Linked DNA regions of Saccharomyces cerevisiae S288C. The gene in region 1 interacts genetically with each later gene. Each region holds a gene or a part of one and is shown on either strand. Other genes may lie near its edges.

Evidence for each region. A genetic interaction does not mean that the proteins touch.
Region 2: mutations in MSS11 (region 1) and AFB1 together harm fitness more than expected from each alone (negative genetic interaction), as found in Saccharomyces cerevisiae (2 studies listed by BioGRID).
Region 3: of MSS11 (region 1) and MEP2, extra expression of one rescues a mutant of the other (dosage rescue), as found in Saccharomyces cerevisiae (2 studies listed by BioGRID).

What each region holds. Positions count from the first base shown.
Region 1 is NC_001145.3:583,942-593,124, reverse strand, and holds MSS11 (Mss11p), read left to right. Parts: upstream 1-3,574; coding exon 3,575-5,851; downstream 5,852-9,183. Other genes in the region: phosphatidate phosphatase PAH1, read left to right, coding at 497-3,085; INP2 (Inp2p), read left to right, coding at 6,737-8,854. UniProt on the Saccharomyces cerevisiae protein: Transcription factor that regulates pseudohyphal differentiation, invasive growth, floculation, adhesion and starch metabolism in response to nutrient availability.
Region 2 is NC_001144.5:228,408-231,994, reverse strand, and holds AFB1 (Afb1p), read left to right. Parts: upstream 1-2,412; coding exon 2,413-3,087; downstream 3,088-3,587. Other genes in the region: thioredoxin TRX1, read left to right, coding at 1-293; NFG1 (Nfg1p), read left to right, coding at 1,544-2,029; RIC1 (Ric1p), read left to right, coding at 3,399-3,587. UniProt on the Saccharomyces cerevisiae protein: MATalpha-specific protein that interferes with a-factor, the pheromone secreted by MATa cells. Contributes to mating efficiency.
Region 3 is NC_001146.8:354,656-359,452, forward strand, and holds MEP2 (ammonium permease MEP2), read left to right. Parts: upstream 1-2,797; coding exon 2,798-4,297; downstream 4,298-4,797. Other genes in the region: MPF1 (Mpf1p), read right to left, coding at 1-387; YNL143C (uncharacterized protein), read right to left, coding at 2,139-2,531. UniProt on the Saccharomyces cerevisiae protein: Transporter for ammonium (both charged and uncharged NH3 and NH4) to use as a nitrogen source. The affinity of MEP2 is about twenty times higher than that of MEP1. MEP3 has the lowest affinity.

The sequences.
Region 1 (9,183 bases):
GTTCGCAGTTCCTAACACTGAGCGTTCTTGTTTGGAGGGCTCGTTTAAAAAAAAGTCTAACAAATGTGACAGATTTGCTTGAACAGGGTCCAAACTCATCTTGTATATCATAACACTACATCACTGGGAGACAAAATCGAAGTGCCCACGTGCTGCTCATTCTCTAAACGGTCTGTCGCGGGCCCTTTTCGTCCTTCGGTTTCCCTCCCTTTAGACAATGGGCTCTCTTTTCTCTATTATCTATCTCTTTTTCTCGGCTTTTCCGGCCAGCGTTGAAAGCAGCGCACGGTGAGGGTAGAAGGAAGAGCAAGGACAAGTGAAGAGTAGGCCATCGTGGGGGCTTGTGTTTATAAAGAAAATACATTCAACAATTTAGTAAAACGTGTTCAAGAAGTGTTAATCAGACCAATTGGACACTACACCTTCGTAATCACAGTTTTACCTTCTAAGAAACATACAGGGAAGAAATTACTGAAGATAGACACATCGGTCGATTATGCAGTACGTAGGCAGAGCTCTTGGGTCTGTGTCTAAAACATGGTCTTCTATCAATCCGGCTACGCTATCAGGTGCTATAGATGTCATTGTAGTGGAGCATCCAGACGGAAGGCTATCATGTTCTCCCTTTCATGTGAGGTTCGGCAAATTTCAAATTCTAAAGCCATCTCAAAAGAAAGTCCAAGTGTTTATAAATGAGAAACTGAGTAATATGCCAATGAAACTGAGTGATTCTGGAGAAGCCTATTTCGTTTTCGAGATGGGTGACCAGGTCACTGATGTCCCTGACGAATTGCTTGTGTCGCCCGTGATGAGCGCCACATCAAGCCCCCCTCAATCACCTGAAACATCCATCTTAGAAGGAGGAACCGAGGGTGAAGGTGAAGGTGAAAATGAAAATAAGAAGAAGGAAAAGAAAGTGCTAGAGGAACCAGATTTTTTAGATATCAATGACACTGGAGATTCAGGCAGTAAAAATAGTGAAACTACAGGGTCGCTTTCTCCTACTGAATCCTCTACAACGACACCACCAGATTCAGTTGAAGAGAGGAAGCTTGTTGAGCAGCGTACAAAGAACTTTCAGCAAAAACTAAACAAAAAACTCACTGAAATCCATATACCCAGTAAACTTGATAACAATGGCGACTTACTACTAGACACTGAAGGTTACAAGCCAAACAAGAATATGATGCATGACACAGACATACAACTGAAGCAGTTGTTAAAGGACGAATTCGGTAATGATTCAGATATTTCCAGTTTTATCAAGGAGGACAAAAATGGCAACATCAAGATCGTAAATCCTTACGAGCACCTTACTGATTTATCTCCTCCAGGTACGCCTCCAACAATGGCCACAAGCGGATCAGTTTTAGGCTTAGATGCAATGGAATCAGGAAGTACTTTGAATTCGTTATCTTCTTCACCTTCTGGTTCCGATACTGAGGACGAAACATCATTTAGCAAAGAACAAAGCAGTAAAAGTGAAAAAACTAGCAAGAAAGGAACAGCAGGGAGCGGTGAGACCGAGAAAAGATACATACGAACGATAAGATTGACTAATGACCAGTTAAAGTGCCTAAATTTAACTTATGGTGAAAATGATCTGAAATTTTCCGTAGATCACGGAAAAGCTATTGTTACGTCAAAATTATTCGTTTGGAGGTGGGATGTTCCAATTGTTATCAGTGATATTGATGGCACCATCACAAAATCGGACGCTTTAGGCCATGTTCTGGCAATGATAGGAAAAGACTGGACGCACTTGGGTGTAGCCAAGTTATTTAGCGAGATCTCCAGGAATGGCTATAATATACTCTATCTAACTGCAAGAAGTGCTGGACAAGCTGATTCCACGAGGAGTTATTTGCGATCAATTGAACAGAATGGCAGCAAACTACCAAATGGGCCTGTGATTTTATCACCCGATAGAACGATGGCTGCGTTAAGGCGGGAAGTAATACTAAAAAAACCTGAAGTCTTTAAAATCGCGTGTCTAAACGACATAAGATCCTTGTATTTTGAAGACAGTGATAACGAAGTGGATACAGAGGAAAAATCAACACCATTTTTTGCCGGCTTTGGTAATAGGATTACTGATGCTTTATCTTACAGAACTGTGGGGATACCTAGTTCAAGAATTTTCACAATAAATACAGAGGGTGAGGTTCATATGGAATTATTGGAGTTAGCAGGTTACAGAAGCTCCTATATTCATATCAATGAGCTTGTCGATCATTTCTTTCCACCAGTCAGCCTTGATAGTGTCGATCTAAGAACTAATACTTCCATGGTTCCTGGCTCCCCCCCTAATAGAACGTTGGATAACTTTGACTCAGAAATTACTTCAGGTCGCAAAACGCTATTTAGAGGCAATCAGGAAGAGAAATTCACAGACGTAAATTTTTGGAGAGACCCGTTAGTCGACATCGACAACTTATCGGATATTAGCAATGATGATTCTGATAACATCGATGAAGATACTGACGTATCACAACAAAGCAACATTAGTAGAAATAGGGCAAATTCAGTCAAAACCGCCAAGGTCACTAAAGCCCCGCAAAGAAATGTGAGCGGCAGCACAAATAACAACGAAGTTTTAGCCGCTTCGTCTGATGTAGAAAATGCGTCTGACCTGGTGAGTTCCCATAGTAGCTCAGGATCCACGCCCAATAAATCTACAATGTCCAAAGGGGACATTGGAAAACAAATATATTTGGAGCTAGGTTCTCCACTTGCATCGCCAAAACTAAGATATTTAGACGATATGGATGATGAAGACTCCAATTACAATAGAACTAAATCAAGGAGAGCATCTTCTGCAGCCGCGACTAGTATCGATAAAGAGTTCAAAAAGCTCTCTGTGTCAAAGGCCGGCGCTCCAACAAGAATTGTTTCAAAGATCAACGTTTCAAATGACGTACATTCACTTGGGAATTCAGATACCGAATCACGAAGGGAGCAAAGTGTTAATGAAACAGGGCGCAATCAGCTACCCCACAACTCAATGGACGATAAAGATTTGGATTCAAGAGTAAGCGATGAATTCGATGACGATGAATTCGACGAAGATGAATTCGAAGATTAAAGATTCTTGTAGCCGAATATTATTTATAACGATCCATACTGCATATTAAGTAAAATTATGAAGTACTAAGTAACAATTTTTCAATTTTATTTAAGAAAAGAGAAGGAAAAAAAAAAGAAGAAAATTTTTTGATAGAAGAAAAAGGTAAACGATGATTGTTACGTACCAAGTGTTCTTCTGAGCTATTTGGTAATTACATACTTCTTCGAAATGTCAAGGTAAATACTTTTCTATACGCACACGAAACTCGCTTGCTGCAACAGGTATTACGTCAGGTGAAAAAAGCGGCCAAGAGGCAATGCCGAAATACAATGCGTGTATAACAGGAAGAGGAGGGGTATAATAAAATCACCATAGTAGAAAAGACCAGAAAGATTTCTATTGCAATCCTGTGTGACTCTTTTGGTTTTTCCCTTTGGTATCTCCCGGTTCTTTTGTCAATTTTTCGTTAAACTGCAGTGAAATAAGAAAAAGGTGCATGATAAAGATATGGATAACACGACCAATATTAATACAAATGAGCGCTCTAGTAACACGGATTTTAGCTCAGCTCCCAATATCAAAGGTTTGAATAGCCATACTCAGTTGCAGTTTGATGCGGATTCTCGAGTTTTCGTTTCGGATGTAATGGCTAAGAACTCTAAGCAATTATTGTACGCCCATATTTATAACTATTTAATCAAAAACAATTACTGGAACTCTGCCGCAAAATTTTTAAGCGAAGCTGACCTTCCTTTATCTAGAATAAACGGATCTGCTTCGGGTGGGAAAACTAGCTTGAACGCCAGCCTGAAGCAGGGATTAATGGATATTGCATCTAAGGGTGACATTGTTAGTGAAGATGGGCTATTACCTTCGAAAATGCTGATGGACGCTAATGACACGTTTTTACTGGAATGGTGGGAAATTTTTCAATCATTGTTCAATGGAGACCTAGAATCTGGGTACCAACAGGATCATAATCCTTTAAGAGAGAGAATAATACCAATTTTGCCAGCTAATTCTAAATCTAATATGCCTTCCCATTTCTCTAATCTCCCACCAAATGTGATTCCACCAACTCAAAATAGTTTTCCAGTTTCAGAGGAGAGTTTTAGGCCCAATGGTGACGGAAGTAACTTTAATTTAAACGATCCAACCAATCGAAACGTCTCCGAAAGATTTCTATCGAGAACTTCCGGTGTCTACGACAAACAGAATAGCGCTAATTTTGCACCTGATACTGCTATAAACAGTGATATTGCTGGGCAGCAGTACGCAACTATAAATCTACATAAACACTTCAATGATTTGCAATCACCAGCACAGCCCCAGCAATCATCTCAACAGCAGATCCAGCAGCCTCAGCATCAACCCCAGCATCAACCGCAACAGCAACAGCAACAGCAACAACAACAACAACAACAGCAACAGCAACAGCAACAGCAACAGCAGCAACAGCAACAGCAACAGCAACAACATCAACAGCAGCAACAGACACCGTATCCTATTGTCAACCCACAAATGGTCCCTCATATTCCATCGGAAAATTCTCATTCAACCGGACTTATGCCTTCAGTGCCTCCTACAAATCAACAATTTAATGCACAAACCCAATCTTCAATGTTTTCAGACCAGCAGCGCTTCTTTCAATATCAATTACACCACCAAAATCAAGGACAGGCGCCATCTTTTCAGCAAAGCCAATCTGGCAGGTTTGATGACATGAACGCTATGAAAATGTTTTTTCAGCAGCAAGCACTACAGCAAAATTCACTACAGCAAAATCTTGGAAATCAAAATTATCAATCTAATACACGTAACAATACTGCGGAAGAAACTACGCCCACAAATGACAATAACGCAAATGGCAATAGTTTATTGCAAGAACACATACGAGCCCGCTTCAATAAGATGAAAACAATTCCTCAACAAATGAAAAATCAAAGCACTGTCGCAAATCCGGTTGTTAGTGATATAACATCTCAACAGCAGTACATGCATATGATGATGCAAAGAATGGCGGCTAACCAGCAATTACAAAATAGTGCCTTTCCTCCAGACACTAATCGTATAGCGCCAGCTAACAACACTATGCCATTACAACCAGGAAATATGGGGTCTCCTGTCATTGAAAATCCAGGTATGAGGCAGACTAATCCATCCGGACAAAACCCTATGATCAATATGCAGCCCTTATATCAAAATGTTTCTTCCGCAATGCATGCGTTCGCTCCGCAACAACAATTTCATCTACCACAACATTATAAAACCAATACTTCAGTACCACAAAATGATTCTACCTCCGTCTTTCCTTTGCCTAACAATAACAATAACAATAACAACAACAACAATAATAATAATAATAATAATAGTAATAATAGTAATAATAATAATAATAATAATAATAATAATAATAATAGTAATAATACACCCACAGTATCACAACCATCATCAAAATGTACTTCTAGCTCCAGCACAACTCCTAATATAACTACAACAATTCAACCCAAGCGGAAACAGAGAGTGGGTAAAACAAAGACCAAGGAATCAAGAAAAGTTGCTGCAGCTCAGAAAGTTATGAAATCTAAGAAACTGGAACAAAATGGTGATTCAGCTGCTACAAACTTCATCAATGTCACTCCAAAGGACAGTGGCGGTAAGGGTACCGTAAAAGTTCAAAACAGTAACTCGCAGCAACAACTAAATGGCTCTTTTTCTATGGATACAGAAACATTCGACATATTTAACATTGGTGACTTTTCTCCTGATCTAATGGATAGCTAAAACCTATTAAACAACAAAAAGTGTTTCATCGTCATTCTTCCAATACTAACCGTTGCATCTTTTCTTTCATATGAGTAGTATGTTTCTAATTTGAATCTTTAAGAAAATTGTTTGTCTGTATTTGTCGGAACGATTTTTGGGATCATCGTTCAGTGCAGGTGTATCGTTTCTCAAATGAAGTGTGAAACTTACTTCTCACTTAGGTTTTCAAAATAATGGCATATAAAGATGGTCTAACATCTATACATATTTTTGACCAAGCAGGAGTCAATCGTTAGAGTAAGTGAGTATATCAGTTTAGTTATTTTAAATTAGACAATGTAATGGAGGGGTGCCAGTGACACTATATAAAATAAAAAAAAAATTTGCATCTGGTGCGCAATAGCGTTCTTGTAACCAAATTTCTATTCCGGTCGAATTTAAACTAGCAAGAAAATAGGTAAGCAAGCTATCTGGCCAGCTAAAAAGACGGTGCCTCAAAGTTTTCGGAATTTTTATATTTAATTCCTAACATATTTAGAGAAATGTAGCATACTCTTTATACAGAATTCTCCAACTTACTATGGTTTCGTGGTCTAGTCGGTTATGGCATCTGCTTAACACGCAGAACGTCCCCAGTTCGATCCTGGGCGAAATCATTTTTTTGAAGACATCCCGCATGAAAACATCAAAACGTAAATAAAAACACTTGATCTGAAAATAAACTAAACATTCATCTTCACCCAATATCATAAATGATTAGGTGACTACCGGATACTAGACGGTTATAGGAGTTTTATCAAAGGTCAAAATCTCACCCCCTCAATAACTGCTCGGCATACCTCACGCTTATTGCAACAAGTTTGTTTTTACTTACTTGTGAAACGTTTGTTGATTAACTTAATAATGACAACAAACTCACGTCCATCCGCCTTGCAGGCTCCCGGTTTACAGATTTTTTCCATGCTGAAATCAAGCGAAGAGGATGGATTCATGAGTTCTAGTCTAACCCTTGATAGTGATAACATAATAGGTGTCACCGAGAACAATCGTCAAGAATTTTACTCTACGTGGCGAAAACCGTCCCTATTAAGCAGCCGCAGCGTATTACATGAATACTCCCCTACAATTGTGGGATCTAATGACTGTACTTTTTCACCTATAACCGTAGGAAAAACAACGAAGTTTTTTAATTGGGATGATATTATTTCAAGAATTTTCATGCAACAGCCATTCGGTGTAACACACCAATTCTTTGAAGAATTTCGGTATTCAATCATTACTTCTCATTTTTTGAATGATATGAATCATTACAGGTTATCACTACATCTTGATCAATCTATTATGAACTTTCATAAAAGCTCAACTTTGTTAAAGAATGTACCTCCCAAATCTGTACCATTTATGGCGACAAAATATGGTAAATTGGCGGTAGCAGAGGACAAAAAATTATATTTCAGACAAAATTTCAACTACCTTTCGATGATTATAACCTCTTATCGAGTACTTACACAGTTGAAAAAATACTGTAGAAAAAAAAATAGTCCAGGTCTGAAGAGAGTTGTAATTTTAATACTCGTAGCAGTGTATTTATCAATTCAGCAAGAATACTTTCGAAGACATTTGATTTGCTATAAAACCTTATTAAAGGTACGGAAAGTGCTCGAATCATTACAACAAGTGGATGTAATGATTCATAAATATCATCTTCGATTTAAAGAAATAAAAAATCATAGTTTTATATCAAGAGTGTCTCTTATTTCAATTGCTGACGAGCACTCATCTGTGATAAAAGAGCTCCTAGTATTCTCAAGTGATGCACTGTTTTATAAACTCAAATCAATCATTCCAGATATTGTCATCTTTAGCGATACAAGTGAGCTATCGAAATACTGTGAATTATACGGTATCGATGTACCAAATCTTTACTATAATAATACTACCACAGTAAAAGACCTTGATGGTAAGCTTTATCGTCTCAAACTGCTAAAGAAATTTATGCTCTGTTGTTTGCTGTCTTTAGATATGACAGGAAACGAAAATCTTTCAAATGTAAACATGAGAAACGCACTAAACAAAATCTTTCCAGATTACATGGCAAGGGTGCAACTCAAAAAAAAATATAATCCAATAGGTACATTCCAAAATATAGTTAGTCTATTAAGAGGATTACATTCACTACTCTCCACTGTCCTGGTGTCTTTGAATGACCATAAGCAAATATTGTATGCATTTCCTGAAGAAACATCAACTAATACTGGTTGTGAAAGAGCAAATGTATGTTCATTTTCAAAGAATGATAAATTGTTTCAGGCACTTAATTACTTAAAAATGATCGAGAACAATCTATTAGCTATTGACATTCGAAATGGCATAACAGAGAATGATAGGAACATCATTGAGGATAAGTTGGAGGAGCTCATTACTTTCTGGAAAACCTCGAAAATTTGTGGCAATATTTCTAGGATACAAAAGGTATCCCCAACCAATACAATCAACCATGGTTTCCATCTGGATATCCTCAAAGGCAGAAAGTCACCCCGTTCTTCGTCAGTACAAGGTCTTAGCTTAGAGAGGAAAGTTGACTTCATTGATGTTGCTGAATCGGTGAATGACTCTTTTGAAAACGACACCGAACTAGAGGAATATGAAGACTACGACTGTCAGGAGGAATGTTCTGCCGGTTCACGCCAAAATCACCGCGTAGATTTTATCGGAAAGGATAGTTGTAGGAAACCAGATTTCAAGCAACTTTCTGACAACGAATTACGACGCAAGTTAGATGAAAGAATTTTGAAATTGGCTCAAGAAAACCGTGAAGGCAGGGAAAGGCTAAGAACTGCAAAGTCCTTTGAATTGCTAAGAAAAGCTCAGGCTTCCATGTCCGTAAAGTTTGGCTTTCAAAAACCATTAAGAGACGATGCCTTTCTTGAGAGCAGGCCTCTCAGCAAATGCAAAGTATCTTCGGAAGAAACTATCCCATTTTTGTATGAATTAAAAGGATTACTAGGAAATGATTCATGATAATATATTTTAATATGTACTTTGAAATAACTAATTACACTTTAATCATATTTTCTAAATAAGCAAATGACGGGCTGCGCAGCCGGGTTATTTTCGACCCCAGTCTGTCAAGTGCTTTAAGTAAGCGAATATTTAACAAAGAAGAATTCAATATTGCAGGAAGTCTTGAGAAAAGATCAAGTGCCAAATTACCCCATTGCTTTTGGACTATTCATTCACTCTTTTCTTTTTTGTTATTTCTTTTATTTGACCTTTATCGTTATATACACATAGCTTCCATACAGCAAATAAACATCCTAATTGAAGTAGATAATTTAATTCCATTCTTT
Region 2 (3,587 bases), on another chromosome or scaffold:
CTGCCAGCGAATTCGACTCTGCAATTGCTCAAGACAAGCTAGTTGTCGTAGATTTCTACGCCACTTGGTGCGGTCCATGTAAAATGATTGCTCCAATGATTGAAAAATTCTCTGAACAATACCCACAAGCTGATTTCTATAAATTGGATGTCGATGAATTGGGTGATGTTGCACAAAAGAATGAAGTTTCCGCTATGCCAACTTTGCTTCTATTCAAGAACGGTAAGGAAGTTGCAAAGGTTGTTGGTGCCAACCCAGCGGCTATTAAGCAAGCCATTGCTGCTAATGCTTAAACTCACCCAATGACCGATATATTGTGTTTCTATACTGTGTTTGTTATATATAGTTTACCTTTTTTAGACAAAAAAACAGAATTATATATTATCCTTATGTTTTGTTATTTACTCGGAAGCACACAATTGCCCACCACACAAAGGAGGTGGAGGAAACAATTAATTTTTCACACAAGAGGTATATATTTGGAGAAAAATGAAGAATGAGATACTTTTCTTCCGATTACTTAAGTATTACGGCTCTGAAATTTTCTCGAGCATTAGATGATTAAATCAAAATGACATAGTATTTCGCAACCTTTCAGTTGGGCTTTGTTTAAGAAGTGGAATACTTTTGCTTGAGTTGTTTAGTTTTATTTTATCCACTGTTGTCTTAACAAATATTTTCAAGACCGGTAAGCCGAAGATGAAAAATCATTATTAACTCATTTTTTGAACAAAAATATAAACAAAAGAAAGGCAACGCACAATTTTAGAGATACATAAAACGCAGTGGATGTTAAAAATAACAGCGGTACAGAAACGCCTGTCTCGCTCCAATAATAATTATACAAATTTGAAACCGAACGCAATGTGCCAAGAAATGTAAACACACTATAGAAAAAAATAGAACGGTGCACATTGTGCTAGCATATCTGCTTGGTTCTGAACAAGAAGCACCTGGCCACTTTCTCCTAGCCCAATTCTTGCCAAGTTTTCAACCTCAATCTTTTGTGTTTGAACAAGCATGTATGAGGGGTCAAAATTTAGTGGAGGCCGCTTACAATCCTTCTATTTCCTCTGGACCTCATTAGCCGTCTGGCCAGACCTAAGCGTCATAATCTGGAGAATTTCATTGCATGCGAGAATATGATAAGTAAGAACTTGTTTATTTATACAAGTTCCACCCACTCATACACGGCTACAATTATGACGTATAATAACGTTTCGTCTAGCCCACCTTTTTTACTTTTGACGTTTTATTTCTTTCGAGGATTTGGCCAAGAATGCCCCGAACAGCGGAAAAAATGGCGTCGCAGTTTCAGATGTATAGACTCATCTTGTAGAAAAAAGAATGCAAGAATGAAGTCTTTTCGTGGTGTTTTGAAAACACTATAAACAAACCGTCAACAAACATTTTGTATAAATATTTAGCTATATATTGAATATCTTGACCAGTAAAGCACCTTGAGAAATTGTAAGCTTGAAGAACGTACTTTGATATCCCTCCGTTTCATCATCCTATAGCTCGTCAACAAATCAAAAAAAATATGAAGATCAGTCAATTTGGCTCTTTAGCTTTCGCCCCAATTGTGCTACTACAACTGTTCATTGTTCAAGCGCAACTTCTCACAGATTCAAATGCTCAGGATTTGAATACTGCCCTTGGACAGAAAGTGCAATACACCTTTCTTGACACTGGAAATTCTAACGATCAACTACTTCATCTTCCAAGCACCACCTCTTCCAGCATTATTACTGGTTCATTAGCTGCTGCTAATTTCACCGGTTCTTCATCATCGTCGTCTATACCAAAAGTCACTTCCAGCGTCATAACATCTATAAATTACCAATCCTCAAATTCTACGGTAGTCACCCAGTTCACGCCATTGCCTTCTTCGTCGAGAAATGAAACAAAAAGCTCTCAAACAACTAATACTATAAGTTCAAGTACAAGCACAGGAGGTGTAGGTTCAGTCAAGCCATGTCTTTACTTCGTTTTAATGTTAGAAACAATCGCTTATTTGTTTTCTTAAACAAATATATTAGGTTCAAGGTCTTCGCAGGTGTAAGAAAACCCGTGGTCTCCATATTCTTAAGTATGATAAATAAAAAAAAACTTAATAAATTATTAATTGCTTCAAACCTTTTTCTTTTTTTAGTTTTTAATATTTCAAACGTTATCTTCATTGAACGCCCAAATAGGGAAAAATCCTGGCAAATTTTTTATTGCTGTCATCCAAGGCTATGCTAGAAAATTCAAGAGCTTGGATGATTTAAAAAGACACTCTCAATCGAGAAAGTTTATTCTTTGTTATTCTGCTTTACCTGATCATATTCCGGCGTATTGTTTCTAATCAAGTGATTTCGATATCCAGTTACGAACCATTTACAACATTCCTGAAAATATTGCGTATCAATGATATTTGCTCCTTCTTTCTCCCTCATTAAAAATATTCTCCTGGTAAGCTTTCTAATCAGCCACAGTTTTGCTGCCAAAACTTTAACGTCTAGTTCCAATGACGATACACTTGCCAGGTCCGCAGCTGCAGATGCAGACATGGCATTCTTCATGGAGTTTTTAAACGATTTCGACACCGCTTTTCCACAGTATACCTCATACATGATGCAAAACCATTTAACCCTACCTCAACCTGTTGCTGACTACTACTATCACATGGTTGATTTGGCCTCAACAGCAGATTTACAATCTGATATTGCTCAGAGTTTTCCGTTCACTCAATTCCAAACATTCATTACGGCCTTTCCATGGTATACCTCTTTGCTAAACAAAGCCTCCGCCACCACCATATACCTTCCCCAACACTTCATAACAGGTGAGACAGAAGCTACCATGACTAACTCATCTTATGCCAGCCAAAAAAACTCCGTTTCCAATTCTGTTCCTTTCTCGACAGCGAACGCAGGCCAGTCCATGATTTCCATGGCTAATGAAGAAAACAGTACAACAGCACTTATATCCGCATCAAACTCTTCTTCAACATCCAGAACTAGTCAATCACAGAATGGTGCCCATGCCAAAAGCTTATATTTCCCCATGGCGTTGTTCGGAATCTTTGCAGTTGCCCTTTAAGTGCCTCAACCAAATTTGACAATTTAATTCCATGGGAGGTCCGCCATCCCTTTTCGCTTTTTTTATAATATGTGTATTATTTATACAAATATGTATATAAGTATGTACTTTTTCAATGGACAATTCGATTTTAAGAGCGTTTTTAGTGACAACGATGAACATCAACTTTGTACAGTATCAAACGATTTATTTTTAACATATTATTATAACTTCTGAATGGCGTTGCCATCTTGGCCAAAATCTTGTCTTTTCTGTCGTTTTATGGCAGGCTTTTGTTCTTTGATGTTAATTCGGCAATACCGACGCCTTTGATGTTCATCAAACAGTCTGAAAAAAATACACCTAAATGCCTCTACAAAAAAAAAGGTAAGGTAAGAGTGTTATTGACCGGAAGCTGTAAGAAACTGAACACGTGGAAAATGCACTTATGGCCAGTCAGTCCGCCCCAATTGCTTAGAATTCCACCCCGCAACGCCGAATTAGGTGAGGGTACTAAAATA
Region 3 (4,797 bases), on another chromosome or scaffold:
GGGAGGTTTCACAGAAGTGAGGCACGGACGACAATGCTCATATATAGGGTACCTAATGACTTTAGACGGATTCGCAAAATCATAACACGGAGGTTCCACTGGGTACGGATCTATGCAGTAAAGCACGTTTTTGTCAGCAACATCAACATCTACTCCGGATTGTGGCTCCACTATTTCGTTCATGATGTTTGTGTTAATGTCTGTTATGCTATCGATATGGTTAAAAGTCACTTTCGGAAGCGGAGAATCCAGAATAGAATTACTAGTAGTACTGGAACAAAGAAACTCGTCGCCCATGGATATGGATGAGGCTGTCTGTGAAAGCTTCAGCCCCGTACTATCCATACCGTCGTGGTCTATTGTCATTTCAAAGATGCTGGAGGACATTTTCTGAATAGGTCCGTTTATCTCTTCTGCTGTCTGCGAAAACAACGTAAAAAAATAGTGCTTAGTGTTACTGCCTGTGTAACAACTAGTGCCAAAGTTACAAAGAAACTTCACTAACAGTTTTTGCAATTTACCAAGAAAGCACCAACAAAATAAATAAATAGCATGCCTGTATATATTACGAAAAGTCCTTCAACTACGTCTTCCACTTGCTCTATCCCTTGGCGGAAAACAGAATACATGCAAATTTTAGAGAATTTTTCAAGATGCCTGCCCCCCACATTTTCTTACTTGATCAAGAGCAGATCTGTTCCTTTGCGCAGGGGGTTGCATGGGGGAGAAACTGGCCGGAAGCAGCCGAAAGAAAGTTCGCAAAAAGATAATGGGGACAGTATTAGAGAAAACGGCGTGGAGGGGTATGGAGGAAACAGTTAGCATAGGTAACGAAAAACCGCAGCAAAATAATTCTCTCTTTTTTTCTTTTGACTTAGTTGTGGGACCCGGATCATTCGGTACTGCATCTTATTCCCGTGCCAAGGTCTCTGGGTGTTGCTGATTTCCGGGTATCCAGAGCTCTATCTGCTTCCGTACCCAGTGAGTGAGCTAAAATAAAAAAGGGGCCTCGGCGGAATTTGAATTCGGGTTACGTTTCCCACGGAGCCCCGGATAGAAAAGATTAGTTTCAGGTACATGTGTCAAATGAGGATAAATCTCAAACACCCATGTACCGAAAATCGATGTGTTGGTTATATTACAAGGTTGGAATAGACCACGGTGATAAGACGTGGAATTTTTGACTGACCATGCGACTCTGAAGGTGTTAACCGGAGGAATTCACGTAATTTACATCTCAAGAACAGCAGAACAAAGATCGAGTATATGATGAAATTTCGTTTTACATGAATAAAGTCATATTTTAACTCACTGTGCACGGATTAAGGGCTGTGATTTAGTGGGACGAGTGGTTCTACACTACTCAAGAAGTCACGCTGTCATTTGATGGAATTACAGTGCTTATTAGGAGCCGTGTAGCTTAGTGTGAATTGATGGAAGCTTTCGAGTTTCATAGAACATATCTGGTGAATGTATATGAGTTTTTCATTCCTTTTACGAGACGCAACTTTCCGCGGTTACGGAACTGTTGTTTTGTTTTACATCTTTTCATTTTTCATACATTTTATTGAGGCGTAGAAATGAAATGGGTAGAGCGGCACATGGATGTAACAATCTCCATTATTCACGTCGAGCCGATACCCGCTTCTGTTGACGCTCTGTTAAGCATAGAACCTACGAGATTTGTGCTAAAGGACGTTGGCAAGGAAGAAAACTATTGTTGATGACAGGATTTATAGCAGTAAATATTTTTTTCTTTTTTGCGAAATTATGTACGTTTCTCATCCAAGAAGAATCCTGTTAATATTTAAATTTCTGCTAGTCATTATCATATTGCAATGGCTTTTATTAGTGAAAGCCACTGTCAACAGTAACTGAGCTACTCCCTCCAATGTTGTCTAACTCTATGCTCTTTTTGGCGTCTGAATGAGCCATAACGAGGGAAATAACTGTATCAGGAATACTAACAGAATACAGATTGGATGCACTGGTGCTGGTGAGTTTTCTTTTTCTGATATTATTGGATAATATTTTCAGCTATAGACTATCATCATTCAGCATTGGTCACGCTAAAATATACGTTCCATGCATACGTGATAGCCTACTCGGTTGTCAACTTCATTTTATAGGCTGCCTGGTCACCGATTACCGCCCCGCTCAGCAGGACGGTTTAAGCTTCTGTTCTTGGAAACGACGTAATTCATGTCGGCCATCGAAATCATTCCTGGCTTTGTAATAGTCATAATGAACAAGGAATGCTGTCTTGGGTTTTTTTCCCTTTGCGAATACCCGGGCTGCCAAAATAGAAAAGGAACAAATGGTAGGTCTTTAAGATAAGAAAGATAAGATAAGACATCTTTTTTTTTTTTTTTTTTTTTTTTTTTTTTTTCCGATAACAAAGAAGAATCCTTCGGTCTCTTCTTACTGCTGTTACTGCTTATCAAGAGTGTCTGGTAATAGTCAAAGCCAGATAAGATAAGAAATGTAAAATCGACTATTTCCCTCGTAAAAAGCTTCAATTGCTCACGCATCGACGAATACTAAGCGGCGTGAAGACCCTGTGCCTTATCAATGAAGTATTCAGTACAAGAGGTGTTCATTCCGAGCCACTTTTCTGCACCATATATAAGCAGTAGTTACACATGTGCTAACCAAACATCAGTGGGTAGTAATCATTCGTGCTTTCACGTCCTTTCAAATTAAATATCCTTCTTAAATAATAAGTCTGCACAGAGCTTTGAAAGAAGTTTAGTTTTGTAATATATCATACTTAATATATTACAATACAATATCAACAATGTCTTACAATTTTACAGGTACGCCTACAGGCGAAGGAACGGGTGGTAACTCGTTGACAACAGATTTGAATACACAATTTGACTTGGCCAACATGGGATGGATCGGTGTGGCTTCAGCAGGTGTGTGGATTATGGTCCCAGGTATCGGTTTATTATATTCTGGTTTATCCAGGAAAAAGCATGCTTTATCCTTGCTTTGGGCCTCGATGATGGCTTCCGCCGTGTGTATTTTCCAATGGTTTTTCTGGGGATACTCATTAGCTTTCTCACACAACACTAGAGGTAACGGTTTTATTGGTACCTTGGAATTCTTTGGGTTTCGTAACGTTTTAGGAGCCCCATCTAGTGTCAGTTCTCTTCCCGATATACTGTTTGCCGTTTACCAAGGTATGTTTGCCGCAGTCACCGGTGCCCTAATGCTAGGTGGTGCCTGCGAGAGGGCAAGGTTGTTTCCTATGATGGTGTTCTTGTTTTTATGGATGACTATTGTTTATTGTCCTATTGCATGCTGGGTCTGGAATGCCGAGGGTTGGTTGGTCAAATTGGGTAGCTTGGACTATGCAGGTGGTTTATGTGTCCATTTAACATCTGGACATGGTGGTCTAGTTTACGCTTTGATACTGGGTAAGCGTAATGACCCTGTTACACGTAAAGGGATGCCCAAGTACAAACCACATTCCGTCACCTCGGTGGTTTTAGGCACAGTGTTCTTATGGTTTGGTTGGATGTTCTTTAACGGAGGCTCTGCAGGTAATGCAACTATACGAGCATGGTACTCTATTATGTCCACAAACTTAGCTGCTGCTTGCGGTGGCTTGACATGGATGGTTATCGATTATTTCAGATGCGGAAGAAAGTGGACTACAGTTGGTTTGTGTTCAGGTATCATCGCTGGCCTAGTGGGTATCACCCCAGCCGCCGGGTTCGTGCCAATCTGGTCAGCCGTTGTCATTGGTGTGGTTACTGGTGCAGGATGTAACCTTGCTGTTGACTTAAAGAGTCTATTGCGCATCGATGATGGTCTAGATTGTTACTCTATCCATGGTGTGGGTGGTTGTATTGGTTCTGTATTAACTGGTATCTTTGCTGCAGACTATGTAAATGCCACTGCAGGCTCTTACATTAGTCCAATTGATGGTGGCTGGATCAATCATCACTATAAACAAGTTGGTTATCAATTAGCAGGTATATGCGCTGCACTAGCCTGGACTGTTACTGTCACATCTATCTTGCTTCTAACTATGAATGCCATTCCATTTTTAAAACTAAGATTAAGTGCTGATGAGGAAGAATTAGGTACCGACGCTGCTCAAATTGGTGAATTTACATACGAGGAATCCACTGCTTACATCCCAGAACCAATCAGATCTAAAACATCGGCACAAATGCCACCTCCTCATGAAAACATTGATGATAAGATTGTGGGTAACACAGACGCAGAAAAGAATTCTACGCCTTCCGACGCTTCTTCTACTAAGAACACTGACCATATAGTATAATGATATACTCAAGCAGACTATGATTTTATGTTTAATCTTTATGTAACGCTTCATTTAATAATTTTATTTTTAATATTTGATATATTTTCTTTTTTTGATAACTCCGAATGATGAGGGGAGACGTTAGTATTACTTCTCTTGTCTTATGTTATTATCATAATCGATGACTTTAACTGTGCACACTATAATATACAGCATCTCCAGAGCATGATAGCAAGAAATTTTCTTTAAGAAAGCCTCTATATACCCTATATATGCTGTTAACAGGAAAAGAGCACAAGGTTTATTTTGCTTTGGTTGCAAATTTTCATCGCTTATAGAAGACATATTTTGATGTAAAAACCTTGATATACTTCCTTTTTGCCTTATCTTTCACTGTTTCCATCTCTTTTCTTTTTTTTTTTTTTTTTTTTTTTTTTTTTTTTTTTTTTTTTTGAATCTTAAAATTCTCGAAACTGCACTGAAATGGCGCAGGAAACTGACCTCATCGCATGCCAACG